Linked DNA regions of Saccharomyces cerevisiae S288C. Changing the gene in region 2 together with the main gene of any one other region gives a genetic interaction. Each region holds a gene or a part of one and is shown on either strand. Other genes may lie near its edges.

Region 1 (3,423 bases), on a different chromosome or scaffold from region 2:
TACTTTCGGAAATCACGCAAATATTATGCACTAGTAACCCTCAATCTCTAAATAACTTATATTGTCATCTGTAAGGCAGCAAAATCCAAGATGGGCAATGTATATAGGTATATAGTTTAGTATTGTCATCTCATAGAATATCAACTGCATAATATACATGTATATATAATTTCCCATTCATTTAGAGGCTTCTTTTTTCGTCTGTATCGCTGAACCTTATGCCGGTTAAATCTAACAAAATTTTTTTGAACTGGAGGAACTAAAAAAAAAAATATTAATCTTGACTAATATACTAATCAGTCACTTTACATCTTAATGAAACCGAAAGAATCACTGATAAAATGTCCGACTCCGACTCCGACTCCGATTATGAATTGTAAGTACAGGATATTTTCAACACAGTAACGTAGAATTACTAACTAACACGAAACTTAATAGGACACTTTCTGCTAATGCCCTCGCTGCCCTTGAAGAATTCAAAAGAGAGGAACAACAACATCAAGAAGCCTTTCAAAAGCTTTACGACGAAACGGATGAAGACTTCCAAAAGAAAAAAAAAGAAGAAGGGATGAAGCTTTTCAAGGAAGATTGGCAGCTTTCCCAGTTTTGGTACAGCGATGACACAGCCGCAATTTTAGCAGATGCCATATTGGAAGGTGCGGACGAAAACACTGTAATTGCAATAGTTAGTGCGCCATCCGTCTATGCTGCCATTCAAAAGAAACCTACTAATGAAATTCCAACCGAACATATCTACTTGTTCGAATTTGATAAGAGATTCGAGTTGTTAGCTGGAAGAGATCATTTCTTTTTTTATGATTACAATAAACCACTGGACTTCAGTGATGAAATTAAAGGAAAAGTTGATAGATTGTTAATTGACCCACCTTTTTTAAATGAAGATTGTCAAACAAAGTGTATGTATATCATAAACATATCCCTACTCATTTTTTAATCTTTTTTCCAGTATCTTTTCATCTTACTAACTGTTATTCATTGATATAAAATAGCCTCTATCACTGCAAAGTGTTTATTAGCGCCAAATGACAACTCTAAAACTAAGAAAGGAGTTTTTAAGCACCGCCTCATAAGTTGTACTGGTGAAAGAATGTCTGAAGTCATATCCAAAGTTTATTCTGACACAAGAATAACAACTTTTCTTCCTGAACATTCTAATGGTTTGAGTAACGAATTTAGGTGCTACGCAAATTTTGAATGTAGTTCATGGAAATTTGCTTCTTGAGCTTTTTAAGAGCTTCGATAAATTTGAAAATTAATTGTACTACATAAAAAATATGTAAACATCAATATATATAATATAATCACATTTCAAATATATCACGTGTTATATTTACTATATAAAAATTCAATAAATAAAAAGTTAGAAGATAAAAATTATATTATACATATTTTTATTTTTATTATAATTTTTGTTTTTGCCTTCCGAAAAGAAAATAGTTTTTTGTATTACGGAAATTACAGAAAAATGTTTAATTTTGATTTCATATTTTTTCTTTCTTTGAAAGAATATTGACGACAAAGTATTGGATAATTATAATGCAAGGAAAGGATATTTGTAGATCTTCGGTTCAATGAAAGTTAATGCGGTATGAATATTGCTTTCTCCAGGACCTTTTTTTTTTTTTAGAGGCTATTTTATTGTCGGTGTTTGTGGATTTTATATTTCTCGGTCCGATAGTCCCTATAGATCGTTTATTGTTCTCTCGAGAAATGGTATCGTTTAAAAATCTCATATAAGCCTGCAAGGAAAAGATTATGCTGCAGCTATAAAATAGAATAGACAACAATATAGATTGTCAATTTTGTCCAATTTTATTTGCAACTCTACCTGGAAGGGCAAACAAAAATAAATATGTCAAAGATAGATTCAGTTTTAATTATCGGTGGTTCTGGTTTTCTTGGATTGCACTTAATTCAGCAATTTTTTGATATTAATCCTAAGCCAGACATCCACATTTTTGATGTTAGAGATCTCCCTGAAAAACTTTCAAAACAGTTTACTTTTAATGTAGACGACATAAAATTTCATAAGGGTGATTTAACATCACCTGATGATATGGAAAACGCAATTAACGAAAGTAAAGCAAATGTTGTTGTTCATTGTGCTTCTCCAATGCATGGTCAAAATCCAGATATTTATGACATAGTGAATGTTAAGGGAACCCGTAACGTGATAGATATGTGCAAGAAATGTGGCGTTAATATACTTGTATATACTTCCTCTGCTGGTGTTATTTTTAATGGGCAAGATGTGCACAATGCAGACGAAACCTGGCCAATCCCAGAAGTTCCTATGGATGCGTACAATGAGACTAAAGCTATCGCCGAAGATATGGTCTTGAAGGCGAATGATCCAAGCAGTGATTTCTATACTGTTGCTCTTCGTCCAGCTGGTATTTTTGGCCCAGGTGATAGGCAATTAGTACCTGGTCTAAGACAGGTTGCGAAATTGGGGCAGTCGAAGTTCCAAATTGGTGATAATAACAATCTATTTGATTGGACTTATGCTGGAAATGTTGCTGACGCGCATGTGTTAGCTGCACAGAAACTTCTCGATCCAAAAACAAGAACTGCTGTCTCGGGTGAAACTTTTTTCATTACCAATGATACCCCCACCTATTTTTGGGCCTTGGCCCGTACTGTGTGGAAGGCAGATGGTCATATTGATAAACATGTTATTGTTTTGAAAAGGCCAGTTGCAATTTGTGCAGGTTATCTTTCAGAATGGGTATCCAAGATGCTGGGTAAAGAGCCAGGTTTGACTCCATTCAGAGTCAAGATTGTGTGTGCATACCGTTATCACAACATTGCTAAGGCCAAAAAGTTGCTAGGCTACACACCAAGAGTTGGTATTGAAGAAGGAATTAACAAAACGTTGGCCTGGATGGACGAAGGTTTGTAATGGCAATCGTTAGGAGCTTTTTGATCCGATTATCGAAAGATAGTATGTTGAAATAGCATATCTGATACGCACCGTATATATTTATTCTGTCTTTATAGATGAATAATAAGAATTGAAACACCTAAAACATCTTGATGACTAGGTTAGTATATATATGTATACACTCATTTAATGACTACACTATGAAGCGTCGGGGTAATGCATGTAAATAAATAGAAATAAATCATTGAAACAACGAAATTCTCATGTATGCCTGCTAAGGATTCAATTTTTTGATATGTACGGTCATAATACTTTCTGCTTAACAAAAAACGAGCGTAAACTTTTCATTTGCCATACACAAATTATAATGAGAAGAGTAACTTGAGTTACCGTCCACCACATTGCGCGAGAATTCACAGACTCTGATATGTCTCTAAAGGATTCTTCACGTTCTCTCATCAGTTGTTGCTCTCTCCTGATATCCACGATCTTAGAATTCAATATACTGACTTTTCCGT
Region 2 (4,990 bases):
TGTTTCTTTCTGAACTTTTGACAAGGTATGAGTCTAGTTGATTATAATACAAGAGTGTGGGTATGTTATTAATAAACATTATAAATTATTAACCCATATAGCTGCTAAATATAATTGAAAATCTAGTAATTTCTAATTATACATTTTTTTTTTTTACAAATGTTTTATGATATGTTTACTATTTCCCGCTTTAGGAAATCATATTAAGGGTTTCATGAAAGAATTCTGCAGAGTGATCATTGGAAATCGGCAGAAAGTGAGAAGGGAGGCTGTCACCAGGTTCCCCTATACTATTCATGTGAGTGGTAGCATGCAAAGTAAAGACCCTTTTTCATTTAGTGATTCATCCATGAATAGCTCTTGGTGCTAGCCCAGATTTTTCAGTAATTTTTGTTTTTTCTTCTGAATTTTCCAGAATTAAAAAAAAGATCAGAAAAAAGCGAGAGTTTACTTAAGATATTAAAGTCTAGTTGATATATCAACAAGTGAAGGCAAAATACCAATAGAGTGCACGTTTCTTGATGCTATGAAATACATACCCCCATTAAATTTTTCGCCAGTGGTGAGCACGGATGTATCGTTATATCGATCGGGATACCCGATGCCGTTAAATTATAGTTTCATCAAGCATCAGTTACACTTGAAGACCATAATATATATTGGCGATAAAGATAGGCCTCTCGAAGAATATCAAAGCTTCCTGGAGTCAGAAAAGATAAAATACTATCACATATTTATGGATTCAAGCCGCGATGAAGGAATTCAAGAAAGAATGAACCAGGTCTTGCACTTGGTGCTGGATGTCAGAAACTATCCCATCTTAGTGCATTCCAATAAGGGCAAGCACCGTGTTGGTGTAGTTGTGGGAATCATAAGAAAGTTGTTACAGGGATGGTCCACTGCAGGTATATGCCAAGAGTACGGGTTATTTTCTGGTGGGATGAAAGATGGAGTAGATTTGGAGTTTATCACAATGTTCGAAACCAATCTGAAAATACCGAGAAACGTTATCCCTGGCTTTGCTAAACACTGCTTGTATTTGAATGAGCTAGAGGCTGCGGAAGGAAGTGATGATGAGTCAGGAAGTGAGTCTATTCTCACTGCCAAGCAACCAATATGATTATGAGAACCAGCCGTTACAAAGAATATTTTCTGTCATTAATATATTTGTATAAATAAAACAACAAGTCTAAAGATCAAGTAGAAAAATGGAAACAAGAACGAGCACATATATGGTATATAGTGAACATATATATATTAGATATATACGTTCAAGCGTCGAAGGACAAAGACCAACCTAGCTTGTGAACAGGTTCAGACAACTTCAAAGCATCGAAAGAGGAACCGACACCCAGAGTGACGCCAGGTCTTAACAATTGCTTGTAAGCCAAAGTGACAATACCGGAATCGGACACCTTAGCCTTAACTTGGGAAGATGCATCAGGCAAATATCTAGTGGCGAATTCGATGTTGACATTGGAGTTAGGTAGTTTGCAGTTCATTGTAGCCTTAGCACCGACCTGTAAAAAGGCGTTGACGTTTTGGAAGAAGTCAACGGTAGTTATTTGCTCGTTGTTCAATGTAGCGCCCAAGGAGTAGTCTTTGGCGAAATAACTTAAAGCCATGGCATAACGAGAAATGGAACCGGCGCTGATATCGTAACCAAACTCTGCGCCACCAACAATACCTTCGTGGGCCATAGTTAAGTCACCAACAAATGTTGGTGACTTCAAACACAAGTCAAAGGCACCTCTTGCGGTGAAGAAAGGTTGTGTGAACGTAGTGTTTAAGACGGCGGACTTGGCGACGCCTGGAGTCAAAGAAGTGATCAATTCGTTCTTTAGACCAGGGGTCAAGTTGGCAAACTCTAATTTGGTTTGCAAGTTGTTTGTGTTAGACCAGCCTTGAGTTAGACCCAAGCCGGTTTGCTTGTCATTCAACTTTGCTTCCACGTTAGTAGACAGTGGACCGTCTTTGACAGGCTGTTTAGCCTTCAATGAGAACTTAATGCCATTGGCGGTTGTTGTTTGCACATCAAAGGCAGCTGGGGTAGCATGATAGAAATCCTTGTTCAATAGGTCATTGATATTTCTGGAGATATCGCTGTAAACTGGAGGAGACATTGTTGAGAGGTTGGTTTGATTTTTGCTTTGGGTACGCTTGGCTGTTTCGTGTTGGGAGAATCCGTAGCACTAATGAGTAGTGGAACGAGTTGGGGGTAGTTATATAGTAGATCAACTCGTGCTCTGCTGGCTATAAAAGGGGTTCTTTGTTGAGGAACGGCCGAAATGGCGGTGTTTGATTGGGCCGCAGCCGGCAAAAAGCACCGGAACCGTGAAAAAAGCTCGTCTGACGCGGAAACGTGCGGCAAAAAATCTCCGCGACGGGGAATTGAACCCCGATCTGGCACGCGACAAGCGCCCATTCTGACCATTAAACTTGTTGGAATAAAAATCAACTATCATCTACTAACTAGTATTTACGTTACTAGTATATTATCATATACGGTGTTAGAAGATGACGCAAATGATGAGAAATAGTCATCTAAATTAGTGGAAGCTGAAACGCAAGGATTGATAATGTAATAGGATCAATGAATATTAACATATAAAACGATGATAATAATATTTATAGAATTGTGTAGAATTACAGATTTCCTTTTATGGATTCCTAAATCCTCGAGGAGAACTTCTAGTATATTCTGTATACCTAATATTATAGCCTTTATCAACAATGGAATCCCAACAATTATCTCAACATTCACCCATTTCTCATGGTAGCGCCTGTGCTTCGGTTACTTCTAAGGAAGTCCACACAAATCAAGATCCGTTAGACGTTTCAGCTTCCAAAATTCAAGAATATGATAAGGCTTCCACTAAGGCTAACTCTCAACAGACAACAACACCTGCTTCATCAGCTGTTCCAGAGAACCCCCATCATGCCTCTCCTCAAACTGCTCAGTCACATTCACCACAGAATGGGCCGTACCCACAGCAGTGCATGATGACCCAAAACCAAGCCAATCCATCTGATTGGTCATTTTACGGACGCCCATCTATGATTCCGTATACACCTTATCAAATGTCGCCTATGTACTTTCCACCTGGGCCACATTCACAGTTTCCGCAGTATCCATCATCAGTTGGAACGCCTCTGAGCACTCCATCACCTGAGTCAGGTAATACATTTACTGATTCATCCTCAGCGGACTCTGATATGACATCCACTAAAAAATATGTCAGACCACCACCAATGTTAACCTCACCTAATGACTTTCTAAATTGGGTTAAAACATACATCAAATTTTTACAAAACTCGAATCTCGGTGGTATTATTCCGACAGTAAACGGAAAACCCGTACGTCAGATCACTGATGATGAACTCACCTTCTTGTATAACACTTTTCAAATATTTGCTCCATCTCAATTCCTACCTACCTGGGTCAAAGACATCCTATCCGTTGATTATACGGATATCATGAAAATTCTTTCCAAAAGTATTGAAAAAATGCAATCTGATACCCAAGAGGCAAACGACATTGTGACCCTGGCAAATTTGCAATATAATGGCAGTACACCTGCAGATGCATTTGAAACAAAAGTCACAAACATTATCGACAGACTGAACAATAATGGCATTCATATCAATAACAAGGTCGCATGCCAATTAATTATGAGAGGTCTATCTGGCGAATATAAATTTTTACGCTACACACGTCATCGACATCTAAATATGACAGTCGCTGAACTGTTCTTAGATATCCATGCTATTTATGAAGAACAACAGGGATCGAGAAACAGCAAACCTAATTACAGGAGAAATCCGAGTGATGAGAAGAATGATTCTCGCAGCTATACAAATACAACCAAACCCAAAGTTATAGCTCGGAATCCTCAAAAAACAAATAATTCGAAATCGAAAACAGCCAGGGCTCACAATGTATCCACATCTAATAACTCTCCCAGCACGGACAACGATTCCATCAGTAAATCAACTACTGAACCGATTCAATTGAACAATAAGCACGACCTTCATCTTAGGCCAGAAACTTACTGAATCTACAGTAAATCATACTAATCATTCTGATGATGAACTCCCTGGACACCTCCTTCTCGATTCAGGAGCATCACGAACCCTTATAAGATCTGCTCATCACATACACTCAGCATCATCTAATCCTGACATAAACGTAGTTGATGCTCAAAAAAGAAATATACCAATTAACGCTATTGGTGACCTACAATTTCACTTCCAGGACAACACCAAAACATCAATAAAGGTATTGCACACTCCTAACATAGCCTATGACTTACTCAGTTTGAATGAATTGGCTGCAGTAGATATCACAGCATGCTTTACCAAAAACGTCTTAGAACGATCTGACGGCACTGTACTTGCACCTATCGTAAAATATGGAGACTTTTACTGGGTATCTAAAAAGTACTTGCTTCCATCAAATATCTCCGTACCCACCATCAATAATGTCCATACAAGTGAAAGTACACGCAAATATCCTTATCCTTTCATTCATCGAATGCTTGCGCATGCCAATGCACAGACAATTCGATACTCACTTAAAAATAACACCATCACGTATTTTAACGAATCAGATGTCGACTGGTCTAGTGCTATTGACTATCAATGTCCTGATTGTTTAATCGGCAAAAGCACCAAACACAGACATATCAAAGGTTCACGACTAAAATACCAAAATTCATACGAACCCTTTCAATACCTACATACTGACATATTTGGTCCAGTTCACAACCTACCAAAGAGTGCACCATCCTATTTCATCTCATTTACTGATGAGACAACAAAATTCCGTTGGGTTTATCCATTACACGACCGTCGCGAGGACTCTATCCTCGATGTTTTTACTACGATACTAGCTTTTATTAAGAACCAGTTTCAGGCCAGTGTCTTGGTTATACAAATGGACCGTGGTTCTGAGTATACTAACAGAACTCTCCATAAATTCCTTGAAAAA

Evidence for each region.
Region 1: mutations in POR1 (region 2) and ERG26 together harm fitness more than expected from each alone (negative genetic interaction), as found in Saccharomyces cerevisiae (2 studies listed by BioGRID).

The regions. Positions count from the first base shown.
Region 1 is NC_001139.9:494,953-498,375, reverse strand, and holds ERG26 (sterol-4-alpha-carboxylate 3-dehydrogenase (decarboxylating)), read left to right. Parts: upstream 1-1,873; coding exon 1,874-2,923; downstream 2,924-3,423. Other genes in the region: EFM5 (protein-lysine N-methyltransferase), read left to right, coding at 342-376, 439-917, 1,011-1,243; ERP6 (Erp6p), read right to left, coding at 3,209-3,423. UniProt on the Saccharomyces cerevisiae protein: Sterol-4-alpha-carboxylate 3-dehydrogenase; part of the third module of ergosterol biosynthesis pathway that includes the late steps of the pathway.
Region 2 is NC_001146.8:516,723-521,712, forward strand, and holds POR1 (porin POR1), read right to left. Parts: upstream 2,124-4,990; coding exon 1,272-2,123; downstream 1-1,271. Other genes in the region: OCA2 (Oca2p), read left to right, coding at 527-1,120; YNL054W-A (gag protein), read left to right, coding at 2,734-4,056. UniProt on the Saccharomyces cerevisiae protein: Non-selective voltage-gated ion channel that mediates the transport of anions and cations through the mitochondrion outer membrane.